Caenorhabditis elegans: one gene and its partners. The protein of the gene in region 3 interacts with the protein of the main gene of each other region in a pairwise test. Each region holds a gene or a part of one and is shown on either strand. Other genes may lie near its edges.

Region 1 (7,887 bases), on a different chromosome or scaffold from region 3:
ATGCACAACGTGCCCGAAGGTGTACGATACAGCTTGCCAAGGCTTTGGAATACCAAGTTTAATTGATTGGTGCCCTCAAGCGGCTGAAGTCGGAGTCAACTATTTTCTTGGCCTTGTTGCTGCTCTTCCATTCTTACCAGCAGATTCTTGCTCGTATGTGACCTGACACACATTCTATATCATATTTCTTTCATTCAGGACCACTATCGTTTGTCCGCCCGGCACAACTCCCAGAGTCAATCTATTCGGTTCGTCAATTCCTGCTCCAACTCCCGCAACTCTTGCATACTGTAGACAAACTGGTCCTGACGCAGGCACATGGTTTACAGGCGTTCCACCATTTGAGATTGAACTTACTTCATTGACGTGCCAATCAGTAGTGTCAGGATAATAAAAAATCGTATTTTAAATGCTAATAAAACTTATATCAATATTACTAATTATAATAACAATCATACCAAGTTAATAAATATTTATTTTTACAGATCTAACTTCAAAAAAGCAATAAAAAAAAGTAGTAAGAACATTTCCTTTTTTTTTGAAAAATTTTGAAATGTCCGAATGGCTCATCAAATATTCTTAGAGTATAGTTTCACAAACTACCAAATTTCATAAAAAAATTTCTACAATTTCTGTTGAGAGTTTAAAAAAAATTGGCGGTAATGTCAGGAAGTTTGCAGAAGCTTGGATAAATGGAAACCATTAGAAACTTTTCAGAAATATTATTTATATTTGTGATTTGAGCCAATACTTTTACTACTTTTTAATCTCTGTGTACGTTACTAGTTTGTTGAAAAAAAGCAATAATTTTTTGTTTATTACATTTAACCATTTTTTTTTTCTGCAAAAAAGTTCTAGAGTTTTAGAACTTTTGAGCATAAAAATATTCTTAACGTTTTATTCTAATTATGTACTTTCAGGCATAATTTTCAGAATTTCGGAAACGTATAACATTTCAAGTTTTTGAACACATGTTTTCTAAAGAACATACAAGTTAATTGAATTGATGCATATAAAAGGTGCACAAACACACTAAGAAACAATTGTATGTCATCATGCTTTTGATACATAAAGTTGAAGAGAAAGGTAAAGTACAGTAAACAATGTGTTCTTCCCATTGTATAGTTTTTCAAGTTTATCTGTTCTTTTGTACCATTAGCCGACATATCGGTCATTTATCGGCAAGCGTTATAAAAGGGCGAGATGACACATATTCACTTATCATTCTCTGACTTTTAGCTTTCTGAACTGTTCTTCAATGCATTTTCAAAGATCGATCACAGTTTGTGTTTTACTCAAATACACTCTTGCATGCATACCTACACAGCAAGTGGATTGTAAGTTATTTTTGCTCGAAAGTTTGAAGTTTGTTTGGGTAGCATTTAATATTTTTGAATATTAATTTAATTACTACAGCAAATTCTCCTGGTGGAACAGGTGGAACAGGTGGAACAGGTGGAAATGGGGTCACCACAACTTCAGCGTTAAGCACAACAACAGCTTCCACTACCACCACCACTACAACCATTGCTACAACTACCACGACAGTTACTGAAGAACCATTTCGTGAGTATTTTTATTTGAAAATTGGTAGAAACATCAAATTAACGGTGGAATATATCTACAGCGTGAAAAATATTAAAGTATAGTGCTAAAATGGCCACACAACATAGTTTGAAATTTCTTAAATTGTTTCTTAAGCATGCACCGTTTGCCAGAAAGCTTATGATACAAGTTGCAAAGGGTTTGGTATTCCAAATTTGTTACAATGGTGTCCCACAGCTGCAGAACTTGGAATTAAATACATTGTTGGCTTGCTCCCCCTTTTCCCTTTTTTACCGTCAGATACTTGCTCGTAAGTCGGATGGTTTATTTTCTCAATTATTATCTTTTAATTTTCAGCACAGTAGTAATCTGTCCATTGGGGACTACTGTTTTCTACTCATTTCTAGGCCTCGAGACTCCAGGGGTTTCCCCAATTATTGCTTGGTGCAAACAGTCAGGGCCGGATGCTGGAAATTGGTTCACAGGGACTGAATTTTTAAAGTTTCAATTGGTTTCTTTAGTCTGTCGCCCAATTATAAGTGGTTAAATAAGTTTACGACTAATATTGAATTCCTTAGATTTCACTTATTTTAGTGCTGATAATAATTAACTTTTGAATAAATTGTTTTCAATACAGGAGAAAACAAATGTGGTTCACAAATACCATGAAATTTTCCAGAGAAGTTGATGAAGAAGTGGCGTAATGAAATGATCGCATATTGTAGTGAAATATATTAAGATTGGTTAGTTTTTTCTTCAATCAGAAAGTGACGATTACTATTGAGTAATCGTCATTATTCTGGAAATCGGCAAAAAACCAGTTTTTCCACAAGTTTTTTTTTTGAAGAATCAGAAACATTTCAGAGGGTTTTGTTCAGATATTTATCTTTTTGTGTCATTTTAAGACAAAATCCTCATTTTTGATACTCCTTTAAGAATGCATTTGTTTTACCGTTTTTTAAATATTAAGTTTTGAATTTTTACACTTGCTGGGTTGAGCACATATATCTTCCGGAAACTTTATAAAATCATTCACAAGTGGTTTCATTTTGCAAACTGAATAAATTGGAAAGAGTTAGCATTAAAAGTTTCGCACTTTCCGCATTGAATTGATCCTCGGATTCATAATTGTTTTCCGAAGCATTTTTGTTAGCATTGATGATCATGTTCAGAGTGTTTGAAAGAGCCTGATCTGGGAACAAATTGACGCTTTTAGTTCCAATTTTAGGTGCCATTTCAATTGAAACAAGAGTATCATTAGATAGGTTTGAAGGGCCTAAATTTATAAACCAGGTGAATACGTGTAATTGTAAAAATGTGATATTTACCTGGAGATGATGCACTTGTCAAAGTAGTGCAATCCTGAGTTTTTTCTTTTTCACCTGTAGGATTTTTAGTGATTGAAGGTGGCTCGTATGGATGGCCAGTTTGTTTCTGCTCTCGACGATACTTTGCACGACGATTTTGAAACCAAATCTAAAAATTATTTATATAACTTCACGCCTTCCAAAAGTATCGAAACTCACTTGAACTCGCTCCTCGTGAAGTTGAATTTTGTTTGCCAATTTTTCTCGGCTCATAGTGTCCGGATACTGATTTTCTGCAAACACCTTTTCCATCTCATCGATTTGATTTGCATCAAACGTTATTCGGTTCCGTTTCTTTCTGTCAGGATTGAAGTTATTCGATCGTTTTCGCGTGATCTTTTTTGTAGTTTCAAATTGGGTGTCATTAAATTGAATTTTGCACAAAATGTCTTGCAGTGAAGGCGAAATTAAACTCTGAAATGCAAAATGTTTAGTTTTGTCTAAGGCCAGGGGGGAAATGACTAAAAACCATTCAGTTAGGCACTAAAATGCCCAAATATCATTTAAAAAAATTCAAAAATGATTGGAAAATGTTTTATTTTGAGTCAAAAAGGGGTGACCGAAATTGTAGGGATTCAAAAAAGCGACAGTGCTTCAGATTTCGCGACAAAATGCACTGACCCAGTTTTCCCCACTTTTTGAGTCGAAATAAAACATTTCCAAAATTTTTGTCTAAAATATTTGCATGAAGTTTAGTCCTTTTTCCACTCGGTAGGCGTATGCGCACATACCGCGCACTTTCCGAGCGGTTTAATACATTTGTTTTTAATCCGCTCGGAATGTGCGCGGAATCTGCTCAGAATGTGCGCGGAATGTGCGCATAATGCAGGGCAGTTAAAAAATGAGGAACACCAAAACGCAATGTGCGCGGAATGTGCTCATGATGCAGAGTGGTGGTGTTTCACTGCCTTTCGCTTGCAGTGTATTTTGATTGCCAGTGTCCTTGCTGCGAATTGAACCTGTGATGTTTTCCCTGAAAGTCTGAAGTCTTACCTGTTGAGACATAACGCATGCGATGTTAATAGCAGTTAACGCGCCATAAATATAAGCAAATGAGAAAGTCAATGGAGAAACATAGAACTAACGATAAAGCATTTTTGGCACAGTAATTCAATAATAAAGGATTTCTCATTGGCTTTTGAACTTGTTTTTCAATCACATATTTATGGAAAAATGTGAATTAAGTATTTTTCCGTTTTTAAGCGTTAATGTGATTATTTTACTAGAGAGAAATCATGTCAGCGCATTTTTATACTTTCATGGTAATTTAGAAGTCTCTAATTAAGTGAACTTTTTGTTCTAGAATTCTTTCCAGAGATTCACAGATAATTCAGTTTTACAACAGCTACATGACAATTGATTTTTCAATCAGGTCAAAAAGAGACTTTGTGTGATTGTAAAACTTCACAACCTCTTCAATTTGACTCCTGGGAAAACATTTGAACGCTTTCTTCTCCAGTATACATTTTCCCCCTAACTATAATAGTAAGCACATATCTAGATATATAGTTTTTAATTTGAATCACAATTTTGACTTTTAAAATGTGGGACATTATGCAGTTGTAAATCAATAACGATAGACGGCGTATATTTACAACCTGTTAACCCAAATATAATATTTCTGAAAACATATTTCAACTCTACAGTGACGTTGTTGGTATTTTACAACTATTTCTGTCGAGAATGTGCATCATTTCAAAACGAACTATGAATGTTTCACAACGTTATTGATGAATTTTTGGTTGGAAACAATACGCGGATTTGTTTTTGAATGAGAACTATTAAAACCATTTCTCTTGGCTCTAATTTTCAAATATCAGAAATACTATTAAATATAGACTCGGACATAAAATTTAAACAATGCTATAATAATTTAGAAAGCAGAAATTGAGCATTAGTTGTAGATTATCTAAGTCAATGTGCGCAGAATCGGCGCGGAAGTTGCGCGGAATATGCGCAAAAGACTAATGGTGGGGAAAATGGCCACATCGAAGGCAATGTGCACTGAATGTGCGCGGAAAGTGCGCTGAATGTGCTCAGAATGCATGATTTCTGGATGAAAAAACACACCAAAACCAATGTGCCCAGAATCTGCGCGGAAAGTGCTCAAACGGCTAGCGGTGGAGAAAATGGCCACGCCAAGGGCAATGTGCGCTGAATGTGCGCGGAAAGTGCGCGGAATGTGCGCATACGCCTACCGAGCATTATAGAAATGAGTTTTCATAATTTCCCCGCAGACTATACTTGACCTTTAAAATTATTGATAAAGGTGTGAGAACGTACCTTAAGTTGCTCCATTTGTAAAATTTTGATTTTCAAATATTAATAGAAGAACAAACTGAAAATTATTAGATTTTTAGCAAATAGATAAAATTACAAATTTCATTAAAAAGTTAATCCTCCAAAAAAACCAAAAAGATCGCCTTAAGTCTATTACGTACAAATTTACATACAATAAAATGTCAACTAAAAGTCAGAAAAATATAGGCTTATAGTGGGATTACGGGATCAATAATGTTATTTCAAGGTGTAATGGCGTCAACGGCGTATCCTGTGTTATGTAATCTCCCTATCACCAATAGTATAGATAATGCGCTTATTCAAAGTGAGCGGAAACTTTCTGTTTCCGGAACAGCAAAAACACACGAAAAGAGTGAGCATCGGAAGTAGTTGTCGAGATATTATGAAATTCTAATCTGTTTTAATAAAGAGATGCTGATATATATTGTACAAAATCAAATGATTATTCAAAAACATTTTCATTTAAAAACAAAATTTTCAAAAAACACTGGAAATCTTATACTTTTAAAAAATGGCAAAAATTCATCAGTATATAATACCAATCTGGTTTGCTCAAGAATCTGGCTGAAAATTATACTGAAACCAGAAGATATCATGCAAATCTCAGAGCATATAGAGAAACAAAAAGGGGTAATTTGTACTAATAGTGGCACGAGGCAAGTAGTTTCTAACCTGAATTCACTCTGTGACAGGTGTGATCAGAACTAGGACGTGTTCGTAATAATGTAGTCAAAAAATTCGAAATATTATATTTTCATACTAAAGCTATAGTTTGACGACAACGACTTTCGGATGTTCATTGTCTCGCGCTTACTGCAGATTAAATTACAAAGGTTATAAGATCTGTGAAAAAAGAGGAAAGAGAACACGGATGTTTCCATTTTAGTCTTCATAATGGTTTTCCCGCAGTAAATGTCAATCCGATGAACCTTGACGATTAGCATAATCTCCACGCTGATGAGCAGAGTAATGATTTATGAAAGTGGATGAATATGCTTATTAGATTTCAAGTTGAGCATATACGAGCAAGAGCTTGATGGAATTAGGCTATTGCGGGAAAACAGGAAATAGTCCTTTAGTTTCTGGTGAAACCAAGCGCCCATTAGAAAATTCTATGAACAGAAGTGAAGCCATTGATAATGTGGCCTATTAAAAGTATTCCCTGAAATTAATTATTTACCGCCAGAAAAACTAAAATACTTATTTATGTTGCACAACAAAATAAGTATTGCGTTGTCTTATTCAAAATAACTCTGACAAATGAGAAATAAAAAATTGATACTAAAATAGTTTTTTTTTCAAAATCTGAAAATCAAAATGTATAACATTTAAAATCAGATTTTAAAAGCACAGAATAAGCGTTCAATTAAGAATATTTTTAACGAAATGGTAGAGTTGCAAGCTTTTTTATTGCACTACATAATTCAAACAGACTTTGAGATATTAAATTTCACATTATAGATTTTAACATAATTTTTAGAGTTATTTCAAGATTAATTTTCAGTGGAAAAAATTGAAGACGCGTGAAAATTTTTTTGAATTTTTGGTTTCAGAAAAATAAAAAAGTGGTAAGGATTGCTAAAATCATCTATTTTGTCATACTCTGCCGGAAATTGATTTTTATTTAATCACATTCCTTTTCCGGTTTGAAATATGAAAATTATTGGCTGAAAATGTATCAAGTTCATCAAGAAGGCAAATAACCAAAAGTATGCAAGACAGTGGTGTAATCGAAGTATTTTTTTCCGAAATCGAAGAAAAGCTGTTTCAATTTTTTTTTAACTCAAAATTCTAAAAATTATTTGGAGTTTTTTTTGCAAAGCTATTTATATTTGAAAACATAAAAACGTTATTAAATGCCGAAAAGAACGTCATTCACAAACCAAAAAAAATCAGTTACGTTTAAAATTAATATTTTTCATGTTGTTTATAAAATAATGTTTCAGTTTTGACAATTGGGAATGTACTTATTTGAAATATTGTGTTTTAAAAAAATAACATGTATTAAACAAATAAATAATTGGCCTCCAGTTTTGGGTGTTTCAGAGCAGCGTAAACAACGATACGTATAGATAGTTTGTAGTTTGTTAAGTTCTGGTTATCAACGTCATTTATTTGAATATAATCCAATTTAAAAGTTGTAGTTTTCATCTGAAACTTCAATATGAACTTCCCCGACAGATATTCGAATGCATCAAGTGTGAATTTTGAAAATAGGTAACCTGAAATGTTTTTCAGACAAATGCATTATTTTTATAATAAATAAATTAGATGAATATTTGTTAAATCACAATAAAGTTACTTTTGGAAACGCATTGAGTTCTAGAATAATATCATATTGCAAAAGTTTGCAAGGGAATCTATTATTTCTTAGAAATAACTTTTTTTCAGATAAAATCAAAAGTCCGATCTTCAGAAAGAATATTGCAAAGAATAAATTGATCCCGATTCTGAACCATCAATTATGCCGATTATGTATCTCGCATGAAACGTGAAATGTTGCTTTTGCAAATCAAATTTTTGAAAGACACGCGTCTAGACGTGATAAGCGTGTCGATTGGAAAAATCATCAAGCTGGCTATTGGCTATCTCAGCGGGCACAACACAGTCTTTTCATGTCAAAAATGGGTGGTATCTTTTCAAAACGACTGCCAGAGTCGACAATTTGGCATTG
Region 2 (6,473 bases), on a different chromosome or scaffold from region 3:
CAGCTTTTCAGGGAGCATGGCCTTCATACTCGGTGTGACTATTCTCTTGTCACTGCCCACGCAAACTTGCTGGAAGACATGGAGAAGCTGGAAATTGAGTCCGATGGAGTTTTAGTAGAGGTTAAGAATATTTATTATATATAATTTCAGTACAACAAGTTATAGGTACCAGTAAAACGTCCGAAATATTCAGCGCCAAAACCAGTGGTTTTCTGTATAGCCCCACAATTTGCTGCAGAGCAGTGGCAGACTTTTCTGGTGCAGCTGCATGTTTCGAAGCGGTTACACTAGAATTGCAAATTTTTATGTCAAAAATCAAATTTTCAGATACGGAGCTCATCTACAACTGTACGTGGTATCTATGGTAGAGTCCTACTTCAACTTGCTCAAGGAACATGAAAAGCTGGGGCTTGTATCCATTGAACCTTGGCTCACAATTAAGTTCTCTACCACAGATGAACCATATTTGGAGCCAAATCGTAACGTGGAGCTCAGAAATCAGGCGGCTGCGCACACTGATTGTATTCTCATGTATAAGGAGGCTGTAAGCTTTATTGGAGTTCTTGACATGGATGATATACTTATTCCAACAAATGCCAACTCTTACTACGAGGAGTTCGAGAGAGAATATGCCGGAAGCTGGGAGATTAGTGCACTTCACTATGACAAATTTGACTATAAAACTATAAAAACTTCGGTACTGGACTCTAAGAAGACTCTAAACATAAGTTCAATGATTAAAAATTCAAAACGACTGAAAACAAAAGACGAAGGAAAGTCGTTCTTCCGCCCGGAGAGATTGAATTCTACGTGGTCTCATTATTCACTTAACTCGGATGATCGTCCAATTTATTTGACAAAAAAGCAGAGGAAACCTATTTATCGAAAAATGAAGTACATATATAATAATGGAATATTTCATTTGAAACACATGGTTTTCGTAAACTCAAGTAATGTTCGGGAAGGAGTTATACCGATTAATCCAGGAGATAATATTACTGAGTTGATTAGTGAAAGACATTTGAAGGAGATCGATGAGGATTTTTTGAGGTTTGAATTTTTAGACCTATTACTTCTTACACGTGGTGCCAGGCTGTCCCATCACGGTTTGATCTACAAAAAATGCGGGAAATTTTTGCCCAAAAATGAGACGTCAGCACGTTCTTAACCATGCGAAAGCAGTTGAAAACTCTGCCGCAATTTTTGTAGAGCTAAGTAGATCAAGCCAAAATGAGACACTCTGGCACCACGTGTTATTATGGTTGTGTCGATTTACGGGCTGCCGGCTCGATTTACGAAATGAAATCATTTATTTTTGGAATATTAAAGTTATGCAAAAGATTGAGAAAATAATACGAAGAACGAGCCCGTAAATCGACAACAGCGATACAGTATTCATTTAAATAATTACTGTAGTTTTCGCTTCGAGATATTTTGCTCGTCAAATATGTTGCGCAATACGCATTCTCAGAATTCAGTGTTCCTGTAATAATATGAGCACGCAAGATAATGTGCTCAGCCTCATAATTTGGGTCTCGTTGGGTATTAGCGGCAGAATCGTAAGTGCAAACATTTTCAGCCAATTTTTACGTGTATTCATGCATTTTTAAAAAATAATTTTTGATAATTTTCAAACCTAAATTGGTGAAAAAAATTCAAATTAGATATTCATTTTTTCGACATACCTAGTTCACGGGGCCTTCCTCGTTGAATTTTTCGCGCTCCATTGACAATCGCCTGCCGGACAACGCGTGGGAAAGTCGTTTACTCCACACGGACAAATACATTTAGTTTTACAACTAAAAACGAGCCGCGACGCGACACGCAACGCGCCGTAAATCAACCCCAGATATGGCCGAGTCAAAATGGCCTAGTTCGGAAAACTCTTCCATTTCAATTTATGAGGGAAGCCAGAAATCCGTGCTAATTCCGCCGCCAATACGTGACAAAACTCAAATCATTGTGAAAAAAATTTAGAAAAAAAACCACTTTTTATAAGCCATACGCGAGTTTTCGCAAATTTTAACAAAGAAAAACACGGTACCCGGTCTCGACACGACCAGTTTTTGTAAATGCGGTGTGCGCCTTTGAAGAGTACTGTATTTTCAAAAACTCTGGTTTTTTTATCGATATTTCATACCTTACGCAGCAACCCGAGTTTAAAGTTACAGTACTCATTAAAGGCACACACTTGCATTCAACAAAAATGTGTCGTGTCAGGACCGGGAACCACAATTTCAAAAGTTCAAATTTTAAAAAATTTCAGCACAATTTCCCAGCCAGAATTCACCAGCTTAACCTCCTCTCTGCCCAAAGATGATTTTTATACGAACATCGTATTCCAGTGCTATAATCAATCATTTTATCACATTCGAGACGCCGGCCTTCTTTCTGCAGAATCCACGTGTGTAAATGCTTTTGATTGTGAGCTTTCACAACGAGAAGCGATGCCGTGTACCCATTCAGATGCCACGTATCACTCCGGGCCGCCCATGTTTCCAATCACATTCCATTGGGCGAGTGATGCATTCTTTAGTGATGAGATTGGATGCTATCAGTAATTGGATCTTTTTTTTAATCAAAATAATGTATTAAAGCTTATCGAAAATTGAAAATGTAAATTAACATAACATGAAAATCAAAAAGTGAGCAGTGAGGTAGAACTATAAACATAATGAAGACACTCGAACATCAACGATTACTCAATTTCCGGCTTGATGCGCTTTTCTGGGATCATGGCTGGCTCGGCTGGCTGGATCTGAAAAATTATTTTTTGAAAATTTATCTTTAAAAAAAATGTTTTAATTAGCTACCTGCTGAGCTTTCTTGTAGCTCTGAAGCGCCGTCGCAAGAGCATTCGCACTTTCGATGATTATGACCCATGTGTCGACTTCAGTGATCTGCTGATCGGTGAAAAAATTTCTCTGTAGAATTGTGTCGACTGCATTGTTGAAGAATCTTTTGTACTCGAGAGCTTCTTCATTGGGCTCTGGCTCTGGCTCTGGCTCCAGCTTCAGCTCCAGCTCCGGTTGGGGCGATCCTGAAGCGTCGCGGGAAGATGAGGACGTTGTTGAATTGGAAGTCGACGGCGACAGAGACTTGTTCAAAAGACGATTAAGCTTGAAGCCGGCTCTTTGAATTGGCGATTTCAGCAGTGATCCCGGTGAATTGCCGGATTTCGCAATCGGGTTGGCGTCTCCTGGAGCTCCGGTTTCCTGTATGGCCTTTGCGTGTTCGGTGAGGGCTTTTTTGTTGGAAAACGTCCAGTTACAGCATCCGCAGGTGTATACTTGACCCAAGTAGTGCTCATTTCTCATGTGATCACGGACGGTCTCCTTCAGGTAGAGCTTACGGGCGCACAGCATGCAGGTGTACTCGTCGCTATGCACCAGTTTACGATGGCGGTTGAGAGAAGCGCCGTGCTTGAAGTTTTGGCCGCAGGACAAGCAGAGGAAATCGCCTGAAAAATGGAAAAATTAATGTTTTTTTTTAATTACAAAAAAAAATAAAATAAAACTCACCTCTGAGATCCGGCCGCTTAAGCTCGCTTTCTTCTTTGCGAAGCAGTGACGATTTTTCAGCGAATTCCGTTTCGAAGCGGTCGATAAGGGGCTTGTGATCGGAAGTATCCATGAAGCTGATTTTCTGAAAGAAGAGGACATTTTGAAGAAAAATTTTAGAATTTTACATCAATTTACACTCAAAATAATAAAACTGCGTTGCGTGTACGCCAAAATAGGCCCCGCCTTTTTCTCGTTCACTCACGGGGAAAAGGCAAAAAGCGGCTGGTGTAGCCAATATCAGCAGCCGACATCATTCGAGGTCCGCGCACCACACTATTTTTCTCACTGTTGGCGTGGCGAGCTGTCCCCCCCCTCCCATATTTTTGCCTTTTTCCCGTGAGTGGACGATTAAAAGGCGGGGCCTATTTGGTCGTACACGCAACGCAGTTTTATTATTTTGAGTGTAGAAGAAAAAAGAATTTTTTTACTGACCTACAAAATTTTTGCAAGGATAGTAGACTAAAAAAGCTTCTCACTAATCACATTAATCATATAATTAATAAATAATATTTTTAAACGAAAAAAATCTGTAAAATTAATTAATTCAGGGTCGACGTCGTTTAAAAGTGTTACTTCTTTGTTTCTACGCTTGTAAAGTAGGTTTTCAATCGATTATTTGAATTTATCTTAATTTTTTCTTTATATTTCAAAAAAAAAATACACTGAAAACATGAAAAATCGGTGAAAAATGAGTGAAAATAACAATAAATATTTAATTTTAAATAAAAATAAAAACGTGCAAGCGCGCTCCATCGAACGAATTCTCTTGGCGGTAATTCAAATTGCAGTTCGGGCAAAACTGAGATTTTTCCAATTTTCAAAAAGTCATATAAAATTTAGAAAAAAAAATTGAATTTTTTTACTATGATATTTGGCCATTGTGACACTATAGGCATGTTTTAAAGCAATTTTCCCACTGGCGCTACTTTGTGATTTGATTTATTTCGACATGAAAAAAAAGGAATACAAAACCGGTACAGTAAGTTACTGCAATTTCTTCATTTCAAGACCCATAAATATGCTCAGCCATATTAGCAACTTTATGCACCAGAAGCTTCTCCAGCTCCCTATCCAGCTCGGTTATAGTGAAGTTGTCGCCGTAAATCCAACCATTTCCGATACTATTTCTGACGGAGGTCATTCGGTAGTGTCTGAAAATGTCAGTGTCGATTTACGCGGCTCGTGTACTCCTCGAGGACAAGTGTGCGTTTTTTGGCAAAAATTTCCTGATTTTTGGCCATTTTCGGTAATTTTTTCTACAGAATTTCCGCCTAAAACACTAAAAAATTAGAAAATTCAGTCTAAAATGCTCACTATTTTCAAAAATAATACACAAAAATCGGCAAGAATTTCAGTAAAAATTCAAAAATCTCTGCAAAAAACAAATGCACACTTCTCCTCGAGAAGTACACGAGCTGCTGCTTGAATTTACATATGACCGTGTTATTATACACACGCGAAACTTTGTGATTTTTGAGCTAAAAATACGATATCTGGTCTCGACACGATAATTTGTATTTTCGAAGAGGTGTGCGCCTTTAAGGAGTACTGTACGTTGGTGGGCTCTTCATAGTTCTTCGATAAAAAATATTATTCTGCAGAAAACAATCGAAAGAAAATTCCACTGCAACAAAAGTTTGCAATTACAGTACCCATTAAAGGCACACACCTTTTAGTATTAAACAAAACATTTTCGTGTCGAGACCGAGTACCATATTTTGGTCCAAAAATCGCAAACTTTCACGTATGTGTAAAACCTACCTAAACCCGGCAGTCTCCCTGGGAACATTTTTCACGATAACGCCGGGATACTGTAGATGAGTGTGATGGTAGGTTTGTACGGCGACCATTTCCGGGCGGTATATACTTTTTGAAGATTCCCAGATTTGAGTTCTAGTAGTGTTCCGGAATTTCAGCGCCTCCAGGTTTTCGATGGTGTCTTGCAGATTGGTGAATTTCTGCGGTGAGTTTTCGGTTTTTTGAATCCGTCGCGCCTGAAATGGATTTCTGGCTTTTCTCTTAAATTGAAATGGAAGAGTTTGCCGAACTAGGCCATTTTGGCTCGGCCATATCTGGGGTAGATTTACGGCGCGTTGCGTGTCGCGTCGCGGCTCGATTTTTGTTGTAAAACTAATGGCATTTGTCCGTGTGGAGTACACGACACTTTCCCACGCGTTGTCCGGCAGGCGATTGTCAATGGAGCGCGAAAAATTCAATGAGGAAGGCCAGAACCCCGTGGCAAGATAGTCAAATTTTATTCGAAAAATTGCGCGCCGCAGATTTGCGGTTTGACTCCGCCCTCTAATTTTTGAATTTTTGCGCGCCATTTTCGTTGTGTCATATTCTACTAATATGTGAAAATTTTACCTGAAAATTCAGCTCCCCAACATTTGCATCCTGGGACCGAAGGAGTTGAATAAGGGTAGTTTCTGGCTGAAACATCACGAATCGCTCGTCAATATCTGCATTTATGACCCATCTTGAGATGTATTTGCTGCGATGGAAACAGTCCTAAAAAGGAAAAAAGTTGAGCATTTTCAAAAATCAAAAAAAAATTAATTCTTGGATCAGGGGTGGGCGGCAAATAATTTTCCCGGCAAATCGGCATATTGCCGGAATTGAAATTTTTGGCAAATCGGCATATTGCCGGAATTGAAAACTTTCAGCAAATCGGCAAACCGGCAATTTGCAGATTTGCCGAATTTGACAGAAAAACGGCAATTGCCGAAAATTTCCGGCAAATTGTGGTTTTGCACATTTTTTCGAAATTTCAGAATTTCAATTTTAATTGGCAAAATTGTGCGCTTTCTATGAATGTTCCTAAATCTATTTGGAAAAGTATGTGAATTCTATAAAAATATCTAAACAAAACGGGAAAAAAATTTCAAAAAAGCACAGTTTGAATTGTTT
Region 3 (9,441 bases):
GATTAAGCCCCCGAGATGCGGGAAATGAAGGTATCATATTGAACGGAAGAGATGGAGAGGTTGGGAGGAGGCTTAAGGTAGGTTAATTAAGGTACGATGATTGTTGTCCATGGATACTCTCAAGAGTGTTGTATAGTCAAGGGGGTGAGGGAAAATTACCTTATTTCCTCTATTGCAGCCCACTATTTCACTTTGAAATGCTATATCTCGGTTCATTATGACGATTTGATTATTTTATCAACTACAAAACTATAGAGAAAGAAATAATAAAAAATTGGCCAATTGATCATTTTCATGTAGGACAAACGGAAACTGAAATATAAAGCGTCAAAGTTGAATAATGGGATGCAATAGTAATAGGGGAGACGGTATCTATAGTTGAGTTTTCAAAATAATAACTAACCTGTGTTGCCATTTGAAGTATATGTGGCCAATATGGCACGGAACCTAATCCACCTGCTCCGCTCAATCCGGCAAGTTGCGCCATCAATGGTTTGTAGAGTGCAGTCATCTCGCAAACTGGTCGATGCTTCGTTAGTGCCGCTTGTGATGGCATCTGACTTTGACACGTTGGGCACGTCCAACCGTCCTGGAATATTTATTCACTAATGAATAAGACGGAGATTGATAACACACTGGTAAAGGTGGGAAGCGCACGTCACAAGAATGAGCCCTGTGACACACCCCAAAGGGAAGATGCACGAGGGATGGGCGGCGCGCGTGTCTTATTGGTTGAGAAGAAAGAGGGCGGAGCATCATGGCTCCTTGCACTTTTCTCACGGGGTAAACAATTAAGGAAGGGACCACCTCAGGTGGGGGCACATCATTGAAATCGTTTCCGTTTTTATTAGTACAGAGGACAATAACCTTCTTGACCACGCCTCGAGTTTTCCCCCCTGTTGTGAGATTATGGGGTTTATTCAGTTTTATATCCTCTCTTTAAGGACTCTTAGCCCAGGAGCATTGCACGATAGATTATTACAGTGCTCAGTTTATTCTTAGAAACTCTAAATTAATAACTCACTGAATGAACTCTCCGGTGCCTGCACAGATTTGAGAATTGTGTGTAGGACTTTGGACACAAATGACACCGAAACGGCTTTAAGGAGCAATGAATATGAGAGTGTTGTTTGAGACCGCTGAAAAAAATTGATTGATAACACGTGATAGTGAATGTGAATGACTGTTAAGTTTTGATTCGGAGAAGTTATATAGCAGTACACCCTCTATTAGTATTGTACCCAATTGTCCATGTTTCATATCTGATTATATTAGTGAAAATAAATCAGCACAATCAGCAGGTATTTTGTCCAGCGAACCTGCCTAAGTGCCTTCAGGGTTCCCTGTGCCTGCCTTCTGCCAACATGCGAGCCAACTATCAAAGTACATGTGAACGTTTTCTAAATATTGTTTTTTTTAACTTCTAACAAATAGAAATGCATGAGTTTATATTGCGCAAATACAGTATAAATAAAACGAAAGGCAGGTAGGCAGGCAGGCAGATAGCCATTATATAAGTCCAGTCCTGTGAAGATGCTCCATCTATTCTAGCCCAAGATAAATAAATAATAAATAAAAACTTCAATTGTAATGCACTGAACTTTCAACTCCGCTCAAGTTTTGGTCGTTACTTATCTTAAAATTTTCTTGTTGGCTGTAAGAATCCTAATTAACTTTGCCCGGTTTCCATACATCTCTATTATAAAAACCAAAATTCTATAAAAGGACTCTGTAAACGGGTTCTCATATCTTAGGAAATGCAAGACAAAGAAAATATATATTATGAAGAAGCCACTTCTCCAGAATATCTTCATTTCCTCCCTGGATCCAATTTCCTGAGTCTCTGGAGCACTGGTTTCAAGCATTCTACCTGAGCATAGAAGAGCTTCTCCTTCCACTTCTTCAAGAGGAAGGCGGGAAAATGATGAGCAAATAGAGGGCTCCGTGTCTCTATGCCACAAATGATCCTCCCTCTAATGGAATAGAGAAGGGTGACTACGGTATGAAAACATACAAACAGAGACGCATAAATAGACAAAACACTTTCAAACACCTGCTAAAATACAACAGTTGAGAGAGTGCATTAGCATGATATACCTTGCCAATAACTTTTCCGACTTTTTTTTTCAACGAACTCACCTTGCACTTGAAAAACTCTTTGGACAAACTCCACACTTGTGTGATCCGTCGGGAGGCGTTTGACCAGGTACAAGTTCGCCGTGTTCTCGAATATACTCCTCGAAACCGTTTAGATTGCTGTCTTCACTGCTGCTCTTTGTGCAGCTTTGAGTACTGTCCGGCCTGAAAATGGTTGATTTTCGAAAGGTTAAAAAACAGTGCCTCAAAAAATATAATACGTTTTTAATACTATCATATAGCAAAACCGTATAACACAATTAGTTTGGCTACTCGCTTTTTAAGTTAGGCAGTTTTGGAATCTTGGATGTTATTGGCTTTATCAAAAAATGTAAACACGCATGAAGTTATGTTTTTTTGAATATTCCGTAGTTTCAATTTTTGTTCTTAAAATTTACAGAACTCTTTTTTAATGTGGTGAATAATGAAAGTTCATGACTAAAATAAAAATATGTTTTCATTTTAATTTTTAGCTTTTTCATAAACTTGATAGTTGAATTTTGTGTTATTCTTTCTAGTGTAAAGTGCAATGTCTAGATAGTTTGATACGAATAACGATTTAGAAAAATCTATTAAATATTAAAATTAACCCAAACTTTTCAAATCTAATCGGGCAAGTTCAAGGTCTAACGTAAAAATTGAAACCTAAACTTTTGGGATACCAAGGAATCATCGTCTAAAAATTTAAGAAACATAGAAAAGATGGTAATAACACAAATTAAGTTAGCGATATAAAGATTTCGGAAAAAAAGATAAAAATTTATATTTTCCGCAAAAAAAACGATTGATTCTCAAAAAAGATGCAAAATCTAGATCCGCTTCCTTCCCCCGATGCACACCCCTCAAAATAAATCAACGATTTCCTTTGAGGGGCTCAAATACCCAAAAAAGGGCTCCTCCGGAAACCGACACGAATTTGTCATCCAGAAGCGGTAGAATCTATATGTAAATGAACGGGACACAAAAAAAGCGGGCGGGCTTCACTTGGAGATGCTGAAGGATGTGCTCTTATCGGAAATCCGTTACTTTCACCGCGCCAGTGAAAACTATCGAGAAAACGACGGGAGTTAGAAAGTAGGACGATGAGAAGAAAATGACAGAAGATTTTCATGAAGATTCACATCTTTCTTCCGTTACTTTTCCGTTAGAAATCGAGATTTATTTTCGAATATTCGCCTGTGTAAGACCGACAAAACCGGTTTGAAATTTTTTAACGCTGATCTCAACAACTCAAAAATTAAAGGTATACTCAATCTGCTTTTTAGAAATTGTTTTATGTGTAATTCAAACATCCTTCTATGTATAGCAACACAGAACTTCAAATCATAGAAAAAATTCCGGAAAATTACAGTTTTTGCAACTTGTTCAGTTATCGTTCCAATTTCAAAGGTGAGAAAAATCATACCTTTTTAGCATGCTCTTTTTCTTGTTTCTTTCAAGGGTCATACTCACCGATCTTCATCTTTTAACAAAATTAAATTCTCAAGATCATCCTGATCCTCCTCATCACACTCCTCTTCGGACAGTCTTTGTAGAAGAAGACGCTCTCCAATATTGATAATCTTACTGGTTTGTAGAAAAGTCTGAAATTTTTCTTATAGTTAGATAACTTCCTCATTAAATTTATCTAATAATCACCTTTCTATCCTCCTGCCTCATACAAATATTGGCATCTTCTCCGTCATCAGCTTCCTTAATCAGGTTCAAGATGAGAAGAGCATTCGAATCATTCGGTGTAGCCTAAAATAATAATATTTATAAAATTAATGTAAGTGATTGTTTTTAGTACTTTTTCTAAATGATGAGTGTAGAATCTAGGATCTACATAAATCGTAGTAAAAAAATGTATGCCTGCCTGAAAGGTGACCTTCGACGGCCTCGTGATAACATGGATTAAAGAAACGATTGGCACGCTGGGTAGGTTTCTCTATGACCGCTTGTAAGACAACGGTGATGTCTCTTCGGACTTAATTTTACAAAAAATGGACACGAATAGTTATAAAAAATTAAAGTTTCAAGAATCCCTGTATTTGGCGATGCGTTCTTCAAAACTGCATATCCAAATTTTAAGTTTTCACTTCATTTGATATATTGCGGACTGGAAAAAGATGACGTCACGCGCGTCACACCGTGTGACACCAGTTACAAGACTGCATTATTTTTCCTGCAATCTCTGTATATTTTCCCACAGATCTTCGCAGAAACAGTTTAGTACCTCAACAAGGGTTTTGTTGGGCGTACTGGGTTTCCTCCCTCAATTATTTCACAAATCGCACACATTCTAAACTCATTCTCGAAAAAATCTTATTTCATTTCGGCCAACTCACCACTCTCTGTGCTCCGTGAGCTTCAGCCCAAAAACCCATCAATATCTAATAAGAAGAAGCAGGAGCTGTCGCTCTCTCTATCGCTTCTGGAATCTAATTTTCCCACTGTGAGAGCAGGTGGTTTGCCTTCACCAAGCAACCATAAGCAATCAGTGGCTCTCTCGCAAAAGATGATGAACTTTTTCTTCAGTGGCTTCTGATTCTGAGTGACTGCCGCTTGATGTGGTGTGCGTGCGTGATAAGCCAATCAGTGTGAGAGACCCGTCGCCGGCTCTAGATGATAAACAACTGGGGGAAATACACTAATTCAATGATGGAATTGTGACGAAGTTGGATAACGACGACAGCTACAGTAGGAAATTGACGGCTTGATCAACGGATTCAATCCCTCTCCTTTATTGATAGAGCTCCTCAAATTCTTCTTCCTATGGAAACCTAGCAATTATCCATTTTCCCATCAGCGACTGTATTCATCAATTACAGTCGATCATCGAGTCTCTTTTCCCATCTCGGATCCCCCATCCACCAAGGCACCAGGTGTTCCGATTTGTAAATCCTAATGTAATGGTTACTAGTGTGCCCCCAAGGTTAACAAAGTGGTAATGGACGGGGGGAGCGGGAAAGGTGGAAAGACAGGTGTAAGGAATTTTTGAGGAGAAGAAGCAGGGAGGAACACATGGCGCCAAACATTTCAGGGTCCCGATAATTGCGGTTTTGGGTTCTGGGAAGAATTTGTAATTCGAACGTTGAATCATTAGGAAAGGATTTGAAAATGTTGGCGAAGGTACTGTAGATTAGGTAGATTAGGCACCAAGGTATCAATTTAAAATGCTTGTAAAAATATTTTAAAAAAAGTTTTGTTAATTTAAAAAAGTCATTATTTTATCAATTACAACCTAAAATTACTGTTATCATATAACTACTAACTAACAAAATATGAGTGTAACATCTGAAAGCTTATTTCATAGGTTACTCAAGCTATAAGATATTTCAGTTCAAGCGACCTGTATTTTTTCCGGTGGAGTTTTTTAGACGCCCGGGAATAAGCTTATACTTCTTTTTCTAGCGGACACCTCTAAGACAATGTCTACGGCGTAAAAATTGTACACCAAAAGCTCACCTTATCAATCACACCGATGGTCCTTCCGAGTGCAATTTGAGTTACTGCAATGAGCACATTTCCATGTAGCTCATCCTCCTTTACCTCAACACTCGTGAGGAAGTCTGTGTCGATGCTCATCCTGAAAACTTAGGAAACTGTACGTGGGAAGAAACAAGAACTGTACAAATTACAAGAACAGTTTTGGGGCGAAAGATGAGTAATACATCTTGTGAACGAGAACAATGCAACGAAAAAGTTGGATATGGCTGTTCAAGGCTGGCTTTGTCATTGAGAACGAACAGGGAGGAGGAATGGTACGGTAGATGTACGAATTTGGGATAGGAGTTAGGAGTAAGCTGAGAGATATTGGAGGGAGGTGTAGTTTGGGAAGAGATTATTATTTTATTGAATTTTTTAGTAGATGGTGAAAAAGTTTACAAGCCCAATTCATTTGGTAGATGAACTGTAGGAAATTCGTTTGAGATTTTTCATGACAAATTTGCTAGTCAGTTTTAAAATCAAGAAATTCTTAATTTAGAGATTATTTTTTGAGGGTTCTACACCACCACAATGTAGGATACAATTTTATTGAAAAATTGACATATGAGAAGATTGCTCTTCAAAATTTGACATTCTATATTTGATCCAAAAACTCGAATGTCTCTCCAGAAGTCATATATAGTAAAAACGTCAAGATACTTTAAGGATACTTCAACTAACCAGAAAAAAAAGAAAGGAAGATGGAAAGAGGCGCCTTCCATTTGTGGATGCGAGAGGAGCGAGAGCCTCTCCTGTCTCAAAAAGTGGGCGGGTGGAAGAGATGGAAGACGACACGCCCATCAGCCAATCGGTAGAGTGACAGGATGCTTCAGGTGAGGAGCATCTTCACTTGAAAAGTTGCAAGTTTCGAAAACCCCACGTTACTAAAGACTATTTTAATATAGAAAATTCTTAAAGTAGAATAGCAATTTTTATTTACTTTCTAACATATGTACTTCGATACTTAGAAAAATAAACAAAAGTGAAAATATCTACACCTACTAAATTAGAATCTATTGAGCATTTCTAGTAGAAGCCAAGCCGTTTATTTGTCGGCTGAATGTCTGTAATAAGTTTCCTGATATCATGAGGTGAAAGCAGAAGACAAACGTTTTTTCCAGGAGTAGGCTATCGCGAGACTCCATCGAGGTCGGCTGCGAGTTTACCGAACTGCTCAATAATCAAAGACCAACTTAAAAACTATAACAACTATTGACTTAGTTTGAATTTTTGGAAGTAAATTGCTGGACGGAAAATACAACAGGGTGTAGCAGTTTGCCGCAGCTTTGAAATTATACATTTGAGGACAGTCTAGAACCATCCAAAAAATCAGTGACCCCAGAGTTTCCAGTAAAAGCGAGCAAATGGGAGCTATTTTAAAGTAGAGGTGTGCCCCTCCACCAATTGTGGTCTTCTTCTGACGGATGTGCTGCGCTTTTCTTCTTCATGGTCCTCATCTTTTTGGAAGAAGGGACGGGACAAAATTGCCGCTTCTTTTCTTCTATTCTTTCCGTTTTTCTTCTCCTCATAGCTCCAGGTGAGCGCACCGAGAAGAGCTTTTATATAGGAGTAATAAAAGGTGGGCTCGTCCATTCTACAGAAAAATAGAAGAATGGAAAAGTTGTGAGGAAAATGGAAAAAAAGTTAGAGACATTCAAGTGATACAGTATTAAAAGTGTCATAAGTGTAGAAAGAAAACGGTCACATTTTGAAATGAAGAATTGTTGAACAAGAGTAAAATATTTCGAAAACCTTGAAAATTTAAAGTTATGGTGCTCATCACTTGACACATGATGTGCCATTAGAACTGATAATAATGATATGATAACAAAAAATGGAACTTTTTTTCTGAATCGGAGGCAAAAAAAACCTCGCGTAAGTGACAATTTCCCATCGAATGAGTGTTATCAGATAGTTTGGAAATTTTGTGAAGACGATTTTTCCAGAGAATTTTCCAAAAGGTAGGCTGCCTACTGTCTATTCTTTTGAATTTTAACGTGAAGTTCGGTGCTTGAAGTTCACAAAGTTACGCTTACCGTATTTTCCTTATTAGACGTGCACCCCCATCACCATATTTTGGCGGTTATTTTTTTAACTACTAAAATATAGTAATTTTGCATGTTTTTTGTTAGTTGACAATTTTTAAAGAAAACCAAAGACAACAGAGCTATTTGAAGTGGAAATAGATCTATATATTTGGTGGTATGCACACGCGAAGGCGGCATTTTTAAGCCTATTAATAGTAAAATCTAGAGGGTAGCAAAAAGGTAGGATGACGCATCAGATGACATTATTTACTGCCATCTACCCAAACCTAAAAGTCTCGAAGTCACTTTCACACTTGAAAGCATTTAGACGTCCATTTTACGGAGATTTTAAAGAGGCACCCAGTCGCTGCTCCGGAAGAAGAGGAAGAAGCAAAAGAGAGGCGTGGTTGCGAACCGATGGGAAAGGTAATGATGAGCTCAGTTGAGCATGAATATGAAGGAAAACGATGTAGAAAAAAGAAGAAGAAGAAGAAGCTGTGCTTTTCCCATGTGTGTCTGTCTCTGTAGTGGCAATCTGGATGGTGTAGGCTAACACAGAGGAGGAGCAGGTTTTGCTGCTCTCAGGCACTTGGAGTGAGGAAGGTGGACACTGAATAGGGGGAGAGGAGAAAAAAGGTGGAAGAGAACAATTCATCTCCAGGTACGGAATGGATTGATGAAACTGAGACAAATAAACAATGGTTTTGTGAAAAGTTGACTTTCAGGTTCTAATATGATGGGACAGTCTGAAAATAATTTTTTTTTTCAAATAGTTACCTACCGTATTTTCCAAAAAATACCTGCACCGCCTTAGTTCTATTTTGGCAGCGTATATCTCGGTTCTTTTTGCTTTTATAAAAAAGTGCCAATTAACAAAATACGTGCTAAATATTTTTCTACATTTGCATTTTTGAAATTTTTTGATAAACGCAAGACAACCGAGATATTAGCCTTTAAAGTCAGGCAGTAGAGGCGCACGTCTAATAGAGAAAATCCAGTAGATCAAGCATAATATGTGTTGCTCATCATTTGAACAAGAATTATAGATGAACCTACAGTACCCGTAAAGTACTTGAAATCGAAGCAGATGATAGCATTTGAGATGGAATCGAGGAAAGGCTGATTGAAAAATAGAATAAAGCAGAGAGGCGGCAGCTGATTTCATTATCTCGTGAGAGAGATTTTGATAAGAGATTCTGATAAGAGATTCTGAATCCTTAATGAGCTTTTGCGTTTTCAGATGAATTCCAAGTAATATCGAAAATACGAGGTAGGAAAAATGGGTGTCTATGAAATTGAAATAAACTTAATGTGAGCAAAAAGCAAATTTAGAAGATTTTCTAGGCATAGGTATCTGAATTATACCTCTCTGCGTTTTGCCTGCCTACGTGCCTGCCTACAGTCTATTTCTTAGATTTTGTCGTAAGCGTTGATGTGTGGTTCTAAAGCTCAAAGAACATCTTTGGAGGTAGGCATGAATTTTTTGCCCAAATGAAAGTTTAAAAGAAATCAAATAAAGATAGGTAGAAATCCAGAAATTGCAAAATCAAATAAATTGTTAACAACTTTACCAATGCTATCGTTTAATTCAAAATGCCTTGTGACAATTCTGTTTTGATGGCGACGGCAGATAAATAATAGAAAAATGAATCTCGAGATGATTCTGAACATAAAATTGTAGCGATAAAGAAGGGATGGAAGAATCCCCGTTTAATTTGGAGTCAAAAATAGAGAAGAGAATATCCATGAAGTAGTTATTGACTATATATTGACTTTGCTTCCTCCTTTTTCCGAATATTTTAAACAAATG

Evidence for each region. The genes of interacting proteins can lie anywhere in the genome.
Region 1: the proteins of egl-43 (region 3) and ceh-54 interact in a two-hybrid assay, tested with the Caenorhabditis elegans proteins (one large-scale study listed by BioGRID).
Region 2: the proteins of egl-43 (region 3) and ztf-28 interact in a two-hybrid assay, tested with the Caenorhabditis elegans proteins (one large-scale study listed by BioGRID).

The regions. Positions count from the first base shown.
Region 1 is NC_003284.9:6,189,032-6,196,918, forward strand, and holds ceh-54 (Homeobox domain-containing protein), read right to left. Parts: upstream 5,211-7,887; coding exon 5,196-5,210; intron 3,327-5,195; coding exon 3,072-3,326; intron 3,022-3,071; coding exon 2,874-3,021; intron 2,822-2,873; coding exon 2,574-2,821; downstream 1-2,573. Other genes in the region: T13C5.10 (DUF281 domain-containing protein), read left to right, coding at 1-153, 199-391; T13C5.9 (DUF282 domain-containing protein), read left to right, coding at 1,259-1,337, 1,417-1,566, 1,702-1,855, 1,903-2,092.
Region 2 is NC_003283.11:2,087,841-2,094,313, reverse strand, and holds ztf-28 (C2H2-type domain-containing protein), read right to left. Parts: upstream 3,646-6,473; 5' UTR 3,634-3,645; coding exon 3,522-3,633; intron 3,461-3,521; coding exon 2,814-3,460; intron 2,759-2,813; coding exon 2,699-2,758; 3' UTR 2,574-2,698; downstream 1-2,573. Other genes in the region: gtnt-26 (Glycosyltransferase family 92 protein), read left to right, coding at 12-120, 166-281, 328-1,050, 2,267-2,561; gtnt-27 (Glycosyltransferase family 92 protein), read right to left, coding at 4,567-4,714, 5,325-5,557, 5,931-6,074.
Region 3 is NC_003280.10:9,951,448-9,960,888, reverse strand, and holds the start of egl-43 (Zinc finger protein egl-43), read right to left. Parts: upstream 5,705-9,441; 5' UTR 5,704-5,704; coding exon 5,584-5,703; intron 3,879-5,583; exon of another isoform or gene 3,877-3,878; coding exon 3,775-3,876; intron 3,720-3,774; coding exon 3,589-3,719; exon of another isoform or gene 3,542-3,588; intron 2,302-3,541; coding exon 2,140-2,301; intron 1,140-2,139; coding exon 1,025-1,139; intron 590-1,024; coding exon 404-589; intron 1-403. UniProt on the Caenorhabditis elegans protein: Probable transcription factor, required for migration of the hermaphrodite-specific motor neurons (HSNs) from the tail to the gonad primordium during HSN cell differentiation. Required for phasmid neuron development.